2 linked regions of the Macaca fascicularis genome follow. The protein of the gene in region 1 purifies or fractionates together with the protein of each later gene. This does not show direct contact. Links are inferred from orthologs where the notes say so. Each region holds a gene or a part of one and is shown in the gene's direction. Other genes may lie near its edges.

Region 1 (8,094 bases):
ATAAAAGAGACCAAAAGTCAGTCCACTTTTTGCTATCATCATGAACCAGCAATTTACATCAACTTCAATGATAAAATTCTCCACCTGACTAAGGCTGATAGCTCTCACTGTCCCATGCCCACCCCTTGGTACCCCACTGACGCCAAGCACACTGAGGAAAGAGCAATTAATCATGGGCAAAGAGATGAGGGAAACCTCACTCAGGAGACAACATTGACCTTCTAATCACACACAGCTAGCTGCATTCCACCACGCCTTTGCACATACTGTTTCCTTTTAGTGGAACACCTTTTGCTCCTAAATCCACTTTTTTTTTTTTAAGACAGTCTCGCTTTGTCACCCAGGCTAGAGTGCAGTGGCTTGATCTCAGCTCACTGCAGCCTCCACCTCCTGGGTTCAAGTGATTCTCCTGCCTCAGCCTCCCAAGTAGCTGAGATTATAGGTGCCTGCCACCACGCCTGGCTAATTTTTGTATTTTTAGTAGAGACAGGGTTTCACCATGTTGGCCAAGCTGGTCTTGAACTCCTGACCTCGTGATCTGCCCGCCTCAGCCTCCCAAAGTGCTGGGATTACAGGCGTGAGCCACCGTGCCTGACCAGTGCTTTTTTTTTTTTTTTTTTAAACACTAGACAGTGAGCCCTATAGGGACAGGAACCTGTTCATCTGTGTCTGGCCCACACTAGGCACTTAGGAATGGGCTGCCACTAAGTAGGCACCTTAAGTGGACACCCTGCACTATGGTTCATGGCAGCCCAGCCTATCAAAGTTTATTGATGGAATGAATCTGTAGAACTTTTCCATAACTGGATAAGGGTATCACAACAGAAGGGACAGAACAAGCAAAAGCAGGGAAGCCCGAAAGTGCAGAACTTCTCAGTAGAAAGGGCAAATAGCTTTATGCCACAGGCAGTACATCTCAGAGAGGAGTTCCACAGCCATCAGCTTTAGTGTCGTCCAGAATGTGGTCAACATACATGCACTCTTCCTCAGACCTTCTCATCCAGAATCTCTGCAGAAGGAGTTCAAGAATCTGGGTGTCTCAAGGAAACTCTAGGAACACAAAATTTGGAGAGGCACAGGACCAGCTGACAAAGGGAGTGGTGAACTATAAAGAGATAACAGTGGCCTGATTGGGTTGGGGCTAGGACAAGAATTCATTTCTTCATTCAGTATTCATTCTTTCTTTCAATAAGTATAGATTGATCCCAGATAGCATTCAGGTACATATGTGCACAAGGTAGACATGCTCCCTGTTTCTTTGTCACAGTCTAGTGGAAAGACAGTCATTAAATAAGCAAAGAAATAAATACCTAATATAGTTTCAGGTTATGATTAGTGCTTTGCAGGGAAAAAAAAAAAAAACAGGAGAGGGGTTAAAGACTGGAGAAGGTTATTTGGATGGAATGGTCTGGGAAGCCCTCTATTGAGGATGGTAGGAGTGAGGGATGGAGCCTCTAGAAATGAAGAAGCAAGACACGTAGATATTTGGGAAAAGAGCATTCCAGGAAGAGGAATGCAAAGGCCTAAACAGAACACATGAAAGAGGGAAAGTGGTTGGGAAGCTAGATGCTGGAGGATCAGACCAGGGTGGAAGCAGTGAAGGTGATGGGAAGTGGTCAGATTCATAATATATTTTGAGAGTGGAGTCAACTAGCTTTGCTGTTGGACCAGATGTAGCTGTGAGAGAAGGGGAGCCAAGGTCATTGCAGGTATAAAGGGGATGGGAGGACAGTTGAAGGAGATTGAATCAGAGAGGTACAGGACTGGCAGGGCTGGGGCAGGAGGTGGCAGACCACATGCAGGTTCCTGCAGACCACGGGGAGGACTTTACTTTTCCATTGAGCGTGATGGGAACCCTGTGAGATTTTGAGCCGAGGGATGTGATCTGACTTGTTTTCTTTTTTGTTTTTGTTTCTTTTTTGAGACGGAGTATCGCTCTGTTGCCCAGGCTGAAGTGCAATGGTGAGATCTTGGCTCATCGCAACCTGCACCTCCCGGGTTCCATCGATTCTCACGCCTCAGCCTCCTGAGTACCTGGGACTAAAGGCGTGCGCCACCACGCCCAGCTAATTTTTGTATTTTTAGTAGAGACAGGGTTTCACCATGTTGGCCAGGCTGGTCTCAAACTCCTGACCTCAAGTGATCCACCTGCCTCGGCCTCCCAACGTGATGGGATTACAGGCGTGAGCCGCCACACCCGGCGGATCTGACCTGTTTTCTAACAGAATCTCTCTGGTTGCGAAGTGCAGTACAGAGAGAGACAGGAATGGAATGGGGCAGTTCCGAGGCTGATGCCAGGCGTCCAACTGAAAGATGACAGGAGCTTGGACCAGGTTGGTGACTGGGATGGGGAAACTAAATTTATTTGGGTAAAAACAATAAGTGGATTTCATGAAACTTGTTGACGTAATGGGTGGTAAAAATCATAAAGGGGGTAGTCAAACAAATGATTGAAATTTGGTAATGGGTCAGGAGCTTCAGCTCTGCGGGCAGCAGTTGTGTCTTCTTGGAAAAATGGTTTCAACTCTCAGCCGTTTTGTCATCTGCAAAATGGGGATAATAATGGTACATCATAGAGTTGTTGAGAAGGTGATGTAAAGGTTTTAGTACAGGATGTAGCACACAATAAACACTTAATAAATGTTATCTTAGAAGCCAGACTGCTAGGTTCCTGTAACCATCTCAGTCATTCACCGGCTGGCTGTTGTCACCTTGGTCAAATTAGCCCTCTGTGCCTCAGTTTCCTCATCTGTGCAATGAGGCACATTAATCGTTAATATCAACTGCATAGAGTTGGGTTGTGAAGATTAAATAAATGAATACAAGTAAAGCATTTAGAATAATGTGGCCGGTAGTAAGCACTGCGTACGTATTAACGATTATTAAGAATGTATTTTAGCCACATTTCCCAGCCCCTTCCCCGGCCTAGCATAACCCATTTTGTGCATGGGAAGTCTAGCTTTCAGCAAGGTGGCCTCTTGGAGGGCGCTGTGCTTGCGTGAAGCGATCCTGTCGGCCGCGGCGAAGACCCAGGTTCCGGCTTTGAGGGGCCTCGCCCCGCGCGGTCCCTGGCGGAACCTTTTACTTCTGCGCTCGCGTTGCCAGCCCGGCGCGCCTCACGCAGTTGCGCCCGCTCCTGGGGCTACTTCCGGCGGCCCCGCCCCGCCCCGCCCCCGGGCGTCTCCATCTTGGTCTCAGGTGTAGACTCTGCCAGAGCTAGCGCAGGAGTGAAGCGGAGTTATAGCTACGTCGGCCGCGGAGCTGGCTCACTGCACTACCCCCTCCCCCTTCTCTCCTCCAGACGCCGAAGTCGCTGGCGCTCATGGCGGGCCTGGAGGTACTGTTCGCATCGGCAGCGCCGGCCATCACCTGCACGCAGGACGCGCTCGTCTGCTTCTTGCATTGGGAAATGGTGACACACGGCTACTACGGCTTGGGTGTCGGTGACCAGGTACGCCACGGAGCCGGCCAGGGTGGAGGAGGGAACTGTCTTCTGTCCAAACTCAGAGGCCCGGAGGCCTGGTCCAGAGCGCCCGATTTCCCCGCCTTTCCCAATGCAGGGCCTGGGGCACATGACAGCGTTGGTAAAACCTGCGGGTCGGAGGTTGCTCACCTGCTCCAACCCAGCCCAGAGTCCCTCACAGCACAGCTGGCACAACATGATTTGTAAACTCAAGGGCAGAAACTCGCTTCAACACAGCCTGGCAGCCTCTCAGGCCAGGACTGTGTGGACCTAGCATTCCATAGAATGGAAAAGAATCCAGACGAGTTTAGCTCCCCAGAGCACTCCTCACCCACCTAATCTCCTCTGAATTCCTTCCCACCCAGCCTCGGGGTGAGGGGACTGACTCAGTTCCCCCCTCATACCACACTAGAGCCTCCACCAAACATCTGGATCCAAGCACAGGTACGGGAGTGAGCTTTGACCTACTCAGCCCCAGGCCACGGCCCTTTTTTCACCCCTTAGCATGGGCCCAGAGAGTTCACATGCCTTTCACGCTTTACTGAAGGGCCCAGCGTAGTCCACTCGCTACTGCCATCCCCAGCTCAAGCTCTAGGAAACAGTCCCCCCTAGAATCGTATACACATACAGCCTGGATGTGAGAGTCATATAAGATTTTCTCCTCATAGCTGTCCCCATAGGGCCAGCCCCCTCCACTCCCATCCCCAGGCTCCACCTCTTACACCTAGGGACGTTGTTGTCATCCCCACCGAGTTCCAGGACCGCTGGGCCCAACCCACCTCACTAATTCTTTGCTCTAGCATTCTTCTGTCTTTGCTGTCTCTTCCCTGTGACCCTCACCCCCACATCCACATCATCCTAGACATCTGCTTGCTGGGACAACTGGGCCTGCCTCCATGCGTGCCCCTCACTGTCACTGTTCTCTCACTCTCAGAACCAAGACCAGCCATGGGAAACAGACCACCCCGTCACCCTTCCTCTCCTTTTTGACTGCTTCAGTCCTCAACTCCTCTAATCATTTTTTTTAGCTTCTCAAATAGAGTCTTAATTCTCCTCTCCTGACACAGCTTTAGGGACCTGTCTTCAAACTTGTTTTGTACATTCTGAGCACTTAGGCAAGTATCCCCTTTCCCCTCCCCCTCACTGCTGTCCCTATTCCTCTCTGTCTCTTAGAACTAAAGACCAAGACCACGATACCCCTCTCACACTTTACCTCCTTCAGCAGGAACCAGAGCCTAAGAACTGTCAGGGATTTCTGGCTCTTCCCCTGCCCGCCCCCGACCTCAGTTATCTCACTGGGACCCCAGGTACACACTCAGGATCCCCATTCCCACCTCCAAACTCACACATACTTCATCTCTCAAATGGGCTCTATGACTGGAGATGAGGATGGAAAAGAACAGCCAGCCTTTCACACACACACACCTGGAAGCAGGAACCATTTCACCTTCCCAAACACATCTGTCCCTGTCCTTTCTCTTTGTGCTGCCCTTCATTCCACATACCTTCCAAATGCCTTTCAGCATTTCAGACCTTAGTACCAGGTAGAGACACATTTCAGTGTCAGGCTCCTGTTTCAGTGCATAGTCCCCCTAACAGAAATCTTGTCTCCCCACTTGTCCTACTCCAGCTTTTTAATCTTGAGCAGCTCTTCACTTGCCCCAGTCATTTTATTTCAGCTTTTCGTAGATTCTTCAAAGAAACTGATATCTGGGATGGTGCAGGGGACAGTGGGGCTGAGAAGAGGAGTAAGATTTGATTTTGACCTGGGAGCTCCTCCATTGGCCCTCAGCTCTCTTGTCCTTCAGATGGAACAGCTGTGCTCTGCACTGTCCCTTCTCATGTACCTCACTCCCCTTACATACCCCTAACTAGCTACTTCTACTCTGCCACACTGTCAGAACCCTGTCCACCTCTGCTCCGGAACTTGTTCTAGAGGGTGTGCCTGATGCCCTTCTCTTCTTGCCATTCCACAAATAAATATCAATCGCTGTGAATCTGCTCCCACCATTCTTACCCTCACTCATCCTGTTGAATCACTTTGACAGTTTGGGAACATCAGTTCACATAAGTCGACACCTTCTTTTAGCTGGCATTATCACCTTTCCATACACTCAAGGCTGCAAAATTTTCGGATGAAATGTACAGAAAGAATACAATCTCATTTTAATACTGTTTTTTTCTGTTGTTGTTGTTGTTGTTGTTGTTTTTCCAAAAAAAAGGCCTTGACCAATTCCCCAAGGTCCATCTGATTTTTCTCTGTTCATGGTGCTATTTTTTGAGCTTCTGCAGGCCAGAAAAAGATGCTGGTTTCAGAAATCTTTGGGGAGGCCCAGGACCCTGGGGAATGGGGTTTTTGTAAGGCATTGCCACCTTTCTTCCTGAATCTTGCATGCTCTTGAAGGAATGGGTGTTTGGATTGCAAACTAGAGCGTGGTGTATTTTTGCTTCTCTCTGCCTTTTCTCCTTGATTGCCAGTGGGGCTCAGGTTGCACTTGTCCTCCTGTCACTTCTGCTGAGTCTACTTTCATTCAGAGTGGAAGCTGGAGAGGCATCTTTCCTGTTAGTTTATTTAAAAGGAGGTTTAATTTTTCAGCCTGGGGCCAGCCAACTCAGCTGACTCGATTGTATTTTCCAAGCTCAGAGGATATTTGTGTTGCCTCTCCTGCCATCTCCTGTTTCCACCCTTCTGGGGGTGATAACGAGAGGAAGGTCCAAGAGTGTATGCTTGACTACACAAGTTGACAGTTAAATGGAAAGCTAGATTGTCTGCTTTCTCTTAGGTTTTACCTCCTCTGTTATAGGGGAATTGTGTACGTAAAACTTGATTAGAAGACCAATGCAGCCACTGGCTTCAACAAAAATCCAATCTTAGAATTTGGATTTCTTTCTTGATGTCAGAACCACTCCTTGCAAGAACTTTACAGCTTTGCCAAGTGGTTTAGGTGGCAAGGGGATAGGTAAGGGATGACTTAGGTGGTCATCGACATAAGTTAGATAATTTTGTTTTCTGTTGTGGAGAATGTAAGGATTGTGATGAAAGAGAGAAAATGCCCAAAATGATCTGTTTAAGTTTCTTTGGGTGCATGTTAGCTCAGAGGCATTGGGTCAAACTCATGACCATTAAAGAACGCTTCCAGTGCCAGGATTTTACCTAGGAAGACAGTTATCTTTATTCTTTTAGGGCCATCTTATGGACCTGGCTGGGGAAAACCTTCTCTAGCCATGGCCTGGGGCAATCAGGAGCTCTGAATTCCAAGTACAACCCTACAGCTGACTTGCTGAGACCTTGGTCAGCTCTCTGACCCTCTCAGGCCTTAGAATTGTCTTTCTTTTTTTTTTTCAAGGTGGAGTCTCACTCTCAGGCTAGAGGGCAGTGGTGCAATCTTGGCTCACTGCAACCTCTGCCTCCTGAGTTTAAGCAATTCTCCTGCCTCAGCCTCCCCAGTAGCTGGGATTATAGGTCCCCGCCACCATGCCTGGCTAATTTTATTTTGTATTTTTAATAGAGACGGGGTTTCACCATGTTGTCCAGGCTGGTCTCGAACTCCTGACTTCCAGTGATCTGCCTGCCTCTGCCTCCCAAAGGGGTGGGATTACAGGCATGAGCCACTGCACTCAGCCTCAGGCCTTTGATTTTTCATCAGAGGGAGTTAAACCATGTGACTGTGTACTTAGGCTGCTTTCCAACTGTGGCTTTCTGGGACTCTTGATATTTGATGTCAGGGTTTACAGGGCAGTTGCATGCCATGTTTGACCTGATATCCCCAGGGTCTGTCCTCTGTTTACTGGGAAACATCAGTTGCACAGCAGTTAGAGACAGCAGTTTCACCTGACTTCAGGGATTTTCTGTAACTCTGGAAGCCAAAGGTGATGGGGAGGTGAGCAGACCAAATTGTTTATATTCCAAGAGAGAACTGTGGTGGTTTGAATGCTGTACATGGAGGATATAATATAAATTTAAAGGCCTTTGACAGAGCAAAGATGAGGATGTCATCAAATTTCTGGCTTCCAAAGTAGACAAATCCATAATGCTAAGCACTAAACATATTTGGGAAAGTTACCCAGTTTGGGGTGAGGGGATAGTTTCTCTTTCTCAGAAGAGTGGTTTGATTAGTTTCATTTTTGTTTTTCCTCACTCTCATTTCTGTGCTTCAGGCCTGTGAATTTCATCCTCATCCAGCCAGGTTTTAAACCATGCCAGCTGTGACATCCTCAATTTTATTTGTTTCTGAGCACCAGGGGTGACCAAAGAGGACAGGCCGGCAGTTCTCAATGTGTGGTCTCCCCTTGTCCTTGGTGTGTGAAGTTTTGCTTTGCTGGACCTTTGTCTTTTCCATTTTCTTCATCTCCGCTCCCACTCCCTCCCGCTGTATTCTCATTGACTGCAGATCTTCCCAGTCCACCTGACCCATGGTGAGCAATATAAATACACATCCATGAAAAAAGATTCTAACTTTTTTTTGTGCTTTTTAAAATTTTTACATAAAGGTACTGGAGTGTAAACCTCATTTTGGGGGGAACTTTCCTTTAAATCATATTTTTTATTTTATATATAATACTATCATTAGATCTGGTTTGTTCCTTCTGACTGCTAAATAGTATTCCACTGTAAGCATATTTTGCATTTT
Region 2 (7,560 bases), on another chromosome or scaffold:
CCACTGCTCCGTGTGGCAGACAAAAACCAAAGAGAAAGTAGTGCTTCAGTAGGAGTATGTTCTAATTGCCTTGTAAACTTGGTTTCGTTCGTTTTTTCTTTTCTTTTCTCTTTTTTTTTTTTTTTTTTTGAGATGAGGTTTCGGTCTTGTTGCCCAGGCTGGAGTGCAATGGTGTGATCTCGGCTCACTGCTACCTCCACCTCCTGGATTCAAGCGATTCTTCTGCCTCAGCCTCCCAAGTAGCTGGGATTACAGGCGTGCACCACTATACCCAGCTAATTTTTGTATATTTAGTAGAGACAGGGTTTCACCATGTTAGTCAGGCTGGTCTTGAACTCCTGACCTCAGGTAATCCACCCACCTCAGCCTTCCCAAGTGCTGGGATTACAGGCTTGAGTCATTGTGCCCAGCTGTAAACTTGGTTTCTGTGCCACTTCATGATAGAGGTCAAAGGCCAGCTACTCCCTGGGGTTGGATAAATTGGATTTGACCTGAATGTCTGTACTATCTCAGAGATGTTCTTACAATAAATATTGGATGATATGTGAACTTAACAAATACCTGTGTTTCTTTTAAGCCCGTCTGGTAAACTTGTCCAGATTGAATATGCTTTGGCTGCTGTAGCTGGAGGAGCCCCGTCAGTGGGAATTAAAGGTAATTAAATGCTTCATTCATTTCAGATGCCTGTTAGTAGTTATCTTGATTATTTTGGAATTAATTAGTAGTTAATTTATACAGAGCTGCAGTAGTATAATTTTTAATAATTTTTTGTTAATTTACAGTGTTTTGGAGTTTAAATAGTAATAAGTCTAAGGTCATTCAAATTTCTTTTCAAAGTAAATAATAACACCTTTATCTGTTAGCTGTAATATTCACAGTAGTCTTTCTCATTCAGAAAACTCTTTTTTTTTTTTTTCCCACTGATTATATCACTACTTGCTGGCAGTTTTTATCCTTATAATTTAGGAAAGTTTAATTATAAAACATAAGCTAAATATGTTGTGTTTCACTTTAAAAGGCTGTATCATTTATTGTAAATTTCATGTTATGAGACTATTGCGACAAGTAGGCAGAAATCCATTATTTTAAAACGTGAACTCTCAGGTATCTTTAGAGTGCTTACAAAAGGTTATGTAATACCTATAGCTGTAGGGACGATTTTTTTGTGTAGTACTAATGACCAGTGAGGGAAAAATGGACTTACCATTTCTTAGGTAATTTTGGTAATAGGACTCCGGAAGAAAAGGTTTTATAAATTAAAGGAAATAAAGGACTTTTGAGTTTAGTGCATCCATAATAGAAAGCTGTTAAAACAGTCTTATAAATGATTAAACATTTAGGTCTCTCTCTTTTTTTTAAGCTGCAAATGGTGTGGTATTAGCAACTGAGAAAAAACAGAAATCCATTCTGTATGATGAGCGAAGTGTACACAAAGTGGAACCAATTACCAAGCATATAGGTTTGGTGTACAGTGGCATGGGCCCCGATTACAGGTACTTTATACTTTTTATAGTGTTTCTCACCATCTCATGAATTGATTGTAATCTGTATTTTCAGGAGAAAAACCAATGTTGTTTTCCTTTTATCTTCCGATTCCTCTTTTTTTGTGTGCTTTGTTTAGCAATAGCAGCCTCATTGAGAGCTGAATTTAGTTTGCCTGTGTAGGTTACTTTAAAGAGAATAACTCAGATGTGAAAGAGGAGGTAGATAGATTACATAACTCCTCTTTTCTCTGTTTAGTGGACTTTCCCTTCTGACATATTCCTCTTCTACTACCCAGGAACTGGGCATAAGGGCTTTAGTTTTCGCCAGTGCAGTTTAAAAATGATAAGAGCAATTTATGTTATAATAAACTATATTCTAAAAAGTATGAGGCAACAAAAGAAAGCATCGCCATCCAGAGTTAACCTTACCTCTTTTCCTGTTCTTCACAAAGGAACAAAATTCTCAAACACCACTGCAAGTTACTGAGTGTGGCAGCCAACCAGGATCCCAGTGCTCATATAATCACCCCCTTTATATTTCACAGGAAGAGAGAATAATCTTGTTACTCAGGGTACCAGCCAAGTTGAAAGAGATTGACAGCTTTCTGTGTCTGTCATTTAAACAAGTAAAAGGAATATTACTTTATTGCTCATGATTTTGTGGAGCAAGATAGGTAGACACAAAGTTTCACTTCAGTTTCACTCCTATTTCACATCTGAGTTGTTCTCTTTAAAGTAACCCAGGGTCTTCCCCAGGCAGGTCTCAAAGTCCTGGCCTCAAGTGATCTTCCTGCCTCAGCCTTTTAAAGTGTTGGTATTACAGGTGTGAAACACTGCACCCAGCTGAATTTTACATTTTTAGTTACAAGTAGTTTCTTACTGTTTCTTAATCTCTGAAGGGTACTCTTTGAAGCACAGGCAGAGAGATTAAAACAGTCTGCAGGAAGTAGTGACCTGAAGTGAGAAAAATATGCCCAGAATTGTGTGCCTGTGAGCTTATGTGTGCTTGTATGCACGTGTGGACTGGGGTGAGCTATAAAAAGACAAGTGGCTGCCCTTGGATAAGGGGGACAATCTTGAAGAAGCCATGGAGTGAGATAAAATTCTCATTTTTGTACATTAAATCTGTTACTTTTAAGCTAACTGGTACTCTATGATGCTTCGATATTTTCTTCTATATCAACTGGAATCCAATGTTAGAGTAAGACTAGCTTTGATCCAGCAGCCACCATTAAAGCAATACATGTTAAACTGGTGCTGCAGGTACGTGCCTGTAAAAGAAGAATGAGTCTTTGGGTAGTAGAGCATCTTCCTTGTAATTAAATCTTATTTTTTCCTTCTTAGAGTGCTTGTGCACAGAGCTCGAAAGCTAGCTCAACAGTACTATCTTGTGTACCAAGAACCCATTCCTACGGCTCAGCTAGTACAGAGAGTAGCTTCTGTGATGCAAGAATATACTCAGTCAGGGTAAGTTGCTTTTTTTACTTGAAATGTGCCATGAATTGTAGGGGGAAGTCATTTTAAAGAGTAGATGTATACATAGAATGGGACTTACCATTCCTATATTTGCCTAACAAGTGGACAAAATCACTATGATGAATATTTCTGATCTTATCTAGATCTAGAATATTTACTTAAGGAAAAAAATGTGTTTTCTTGTTGCTCATATAACAGCAGAAAGCAGCTTCTAGATATAAAAAGTTCTTTTCCCAGTGATTAAAACACTTTTTGGGCAGAAATTCATTGCTACTTTTATTTATTTTTATTTTTTTCTTTTTGAGTCAGAGTCTCACTCTGTTACCCAGGCTGGAGTGCAATGGCATGATCCTGGCTCACTGCAACCTCTGCCTCCTGGGATCAAGTGATGCTCATGCCTTAGCCTCCCCAGTAGCTGGCACCACAGGCATGCATCACCATGCCCAGCTAATTTTTTTTTTTTTTTGTATTTTTTTGGTAGGGATGTGGTTTTACTATGTTGGCCAGACTGGTTTCAAACTCCTGACCTCAAGTGATCTGCCTGTCTTGGCCTCCCAAAGTGTTGGTACTGCACCTGGCCTCTACTTTCAAATTTATGTTTCTAACCAGAAATGATTGTAAGCACATGATGAAAGCAGCTCTTTGACACATTCATATTTCTTTTCATTCCCCAGCTTCTTTGGGTGTGGATGAGATAGCATATAGGTAGTTGTTGATATGTAAACCTAGTGGAAGAGCTGCATTAACTGAAAATTGTCATTTTGTAATAGGTAAACCTAGTGGAAAAGCTGCATCAATTGAAAGTTGTCATTTTGTGACAAGTAAACCTAGTGAAAAAGCTGCATTAATTAAAAGTTGTTATTTTGTTAGGACACTAAATGTTACTCCACACTTATTAACCCCAGTGTCTTAGGTGACACTCTATTCAATCCAAATTTTTTTTTTTTGGCTACTATTCCTCACTACTGTAAAGAGAATTAGTTTTGAATTGATTCATTCAGAAAGGTGTTAAATACTTTTTAGGGAACTTACAAGTCTAATTCAGTTTGCCTGATAATTTGCTTTATTTGAGAATACTGATAAATTCTTGAGGATGACTTTCATGAAAATGCCAAGTAATTTTCATTTTCCTGTCTGCAGTGGTGTTCGTCCATTTGGAGTTTCTTTACTTATTTGTGGTTGGAATGAGGGACGACCATATTTATTTCAGTCAGATCCATCTGTAAGTATCAGTAGATGTATTTGAGGGATTTGTCTTTAAAAGTGCTCTTTGAATATCTAACAGAAATAGAAGCCATAAAAACTTTACAATTTAGCAGTATTTTCTTCTTTTTCACCTGGGCTTTAGAAGGTATGAGGTCATGCATTTTTGTGTGTATATTTAAAATTTTGGTAATTTGGTCTTCTGATAAGGAAGCTGTATTAGTTCTACCCTCTTTTCTTCTGCCATGTTTACTTCATACACTTGGGTGATTTGTTGAAATAGTTGTTATCAAATGTATTTAAACCTGTAACTTTGGGAAATATTGCAATTGAAGATGTGGATCTGGAGGACGGTGTTGTGGTGTTTGCCGTCAGTTGAATCTTGGGGTTGACTTGAGTGACTTTTCCAGCAAAAACATTAATCTGTCTTGAATTCAGTGTTTTGCAAGAATGATTGTGAAATTGGTACCTTGGGTGAGTTGTCTGCTGTAATGCAGAAGAATGGTATCTGAATAGAAGGGATTTGTAAAGGATAATACTACTCCACATCTGTCCCATTTGCTATGAGAACCTTAAGACAAAATTCAAGATTAGGAAATTACCTTTCATGTTTTATGGATTATTAGATAATTAGAAGTTTACTCAATGCAGACCTTATGATCTACTCTTAAAACCTGAGATGGCAAAAGAAAAATATTTTGGTTGTTACTTAAATCAGAAAAAATAAGTATTTGGGGGAACTTTGATAGTGCTGTTACTCCATCTCTGAGTTTCCAAAGCTAAGTGACAAGCCCTCTTATCTTCCTTTTCAGAAGGTAGCGGAAGCCACCATTTCTGGAATCCAGATTTCTTCTTTTGTCCTATTTTCCTCTGTTGTATCTAAAAAACAATTGTTTTCATTTAAAACATAATGGATTATGTTTCTTTTGGTATTTTTTCTGATGAGATGCTCTCTTTTTAATTTATTCACTAATGATCAAGAGTTGGTCACCATTTTTCAGATTTATATGAGAGACTTAAATCGCTTCAGTCTGTGACGCTAAAATACTACTCTTGATTATTTGTTTAAGTTAACCTCAATTTCTTTTAACTGGCTTTGTTACATAATTTATGTACACTTAATTGCATCATCACCAGCTTCATCAGTTTGATGAGTTCTGATATATGTAAATGTCTGAAGAAACCATTACTACAATGAGGATATCAAAAATGTCCAGAACCTCCAAAAGTGTCTCCATGCCTCTTTGGTTTCCATCCTTCTAGCCTTCTTAAAAAAAATAACCTATTCTGTGATGTTTTCCATTCTAATAATATTCTGTGACCTTCAAAGTTAGAGAACAATTAATAAAGCTAAAAATTAAATGGCAGGGCAATATAATTGTATTTGTGTTTTAAAATATGGTTCTTTACTCTTTCTATCCTGATTAGGGAGCTTACTTTGCCTGGAAAGCTACAGCAATGGGAAAGAACTATGTGAATGGGAAAACTTTCCTTGAGAAAAGGTAGGCTCACTCACTGTAACTACATTCATTAGCAAACTCACTTTATGGTTTTTGGTGCTCTTTAAGTAATTAATATCATGGGACTAAAGAAAATTGCTGTATTACTCTGTATATTAATCTAGTTACAGATAAATCAAAAACTTATCTCCCTCCTAGTTTCCTAGTCTTCAGTATATCGAGTGGTAATTAATATTCATTTCCTAAGGAGTTGTCTTTTTACATTCTATGGTTTCCTAAATGCTTTTTTGTTTTGTTTTGTTTTACTTTTTACTTCACTTTTTCTGCCATTTTAGGAGGGAGAAAAAGAACATTGAATCTGGAATAAAAAATTTGGGGAGACAGATTTTTAAATGATTTAATGATAATAGTTTACATTATGACAGTAAAAAAAATTGTGAAACCAAATGCCTGGAGTTGAAGGTATATTAAATATTTGGTATGTGTGCTTGATAAAAAGTGGAGCACTATGTAAAAATCTGTCGGTGCCCAAGTACAAGCTGCCCTCACTTATTTCCAGCTGTATTCTAGTCTCAGTGTTACTGTAGTCCTTCAAAACTCTCCAAGCTTTTGAAGAGGAAAATGTTTTATTTCTTGATATGTAATAGTTGCGCATATTTTTGCAGTATATGTGATATTTTAATACCTGTATACAGTGTGTCAAATCAGGGTAATTGGATATCCGTTACCTCAAACATCTATCTTTTCTTTGTGTTGGGAGCATTGCACATCTTCTAGCTGTTCTGAAATAGGGAGAAGAAAAATAATTTCCTGAGTGTACTATTGGACACCAGAACTTATTCCTCCTATCTGACTGCATTTTTATACCCCTTCACCAACTTCCTTCATTTCTTCTTCCCGTCTCCCTTTCCAGCCTCTGGTAACCACTGTGCTACTCTCTCCCTCCATGAGATCCACTTTTTTTAGCTCCCACATATGAGTGAGAACATGCAATATTCATCTTTCTATGCCTGGCTTGTTTTACTTAACATAATGACCTCCATTTCCATCCATGTTGCTGCAAATGACAGGATTTCATTTTTTCATGGCTGAATAATAATAAAAAATTTTGTAACTCCGTTTAACAGAGGAGCCTTCACAGTACATTTTTCATGTAATGTTAAGGTTATTAAAAATCTTAGGCCTGGGTTTAAATGGTAAATTTAATCTTAGGCTCTTAAGGTACTTTTTCATTTTTCTTTTTTATATTAATGAGTCTTCCAAATATTTCACATTGTTATTACATGATATGTTTTGTTTTATTTTTGTTTCAGAGGCATTTTATTTAGACAACTAAAAATAATTAGATGTTCAGAACCAGTGTACAATGAAAGAGAAATTAAACCAGTTACTTTATCATGTATTCCCTCTTTACAACCAAAGCAAAAAACAACAACAAAGACATTCTGCTTTAAGGGAAAGTCAGACAAATAAGCCAATATATTTTTCTTCTCCATAATGATATAAACAGCTGCAAGAACTTTTAATTGTAATAAGAGAAGTCGGATGTTGTCTTGTACATACTCATTAAAAAGATGACAGGCCATTGTACTACAAGAGGATAACTCAGCCTCCCTTCATCTGATCCTCTTGAGATTTCACTTACAGGTAACACCAAGTTAGTTGTTCCAGCAATGGAGCTAATTCATATTCCTCATTATTTATTACTGCTTTTGCCTTAAGCAGAGAGTAACTCTGAAAGGCTGATGTTTTTCTCTGCTTGCTCGTTCTAGTCCAGTTGTATATTATCTGTGGCACATGCTTGATGCTCAGGCCTTAACTTGAGGAGTTGAAGAATAGATGGAATCTGAATTCTCTGAAGCAGTTTCTTCTAGCTCCTCTTCTCTTGTCTCTGCAAAACCAATCTTTGGCTTCTCCAGCTCACTGCTATCTTCTTC

The links. Proteins that work in one complex are often made in the same cells at the same time.
Region 2: the proteins of PSMF1 (region 1) and PSMA2 purify together in Homo sapiens (affinity purification with mass spectrometry; 3 studies listed by BioGRID and IntAct, with this or other methods). This does not show direct contact. The link is inferred for Macaca fascicularis from reciprocal best matches to the Homo sapiens genes PSMF1 and PSMA2.

Annotation. Positions count from the first base shown.
Region 1 is NC_088384.1:86,262,017-86,270,110, reverse strand, and holds the start of PSMF1 (proteasome inhibitor PI31 subunit), read left to right. Parts: upstream 1-3,175; 5' UTR 3,176-3,322; coding exon 3,323-3,451; intron 3,452-8,094. UniProt on the Homo sapiens protein: Plays an important role in control of proteasome function. Inhibits the hydrolysis of protein and peptide substrates by the 20S proteasome. Also inhibits the activation of the proteasome by the proteasome regulatory proteins PA700 and PA28.
Region 2 is NC_088377.1:87,361,680-87,369,239, forward strand, and holds part of PSMA2 (proteasome subunit alpha type-2), read left to right. Parts: intron 1-577; coding exon 578-654; intron 655-1,360; coding exon 1,361-1,493; intron 1,494-2,828; coding exon 2,829-2,951; intron 2,952-4,100; coding exon 4,101-4,182; intron 4,183-5,591; coding exon 5,592-5,665; intron 5,666-7,431; exon of another isoform or gene 7,432-7,560.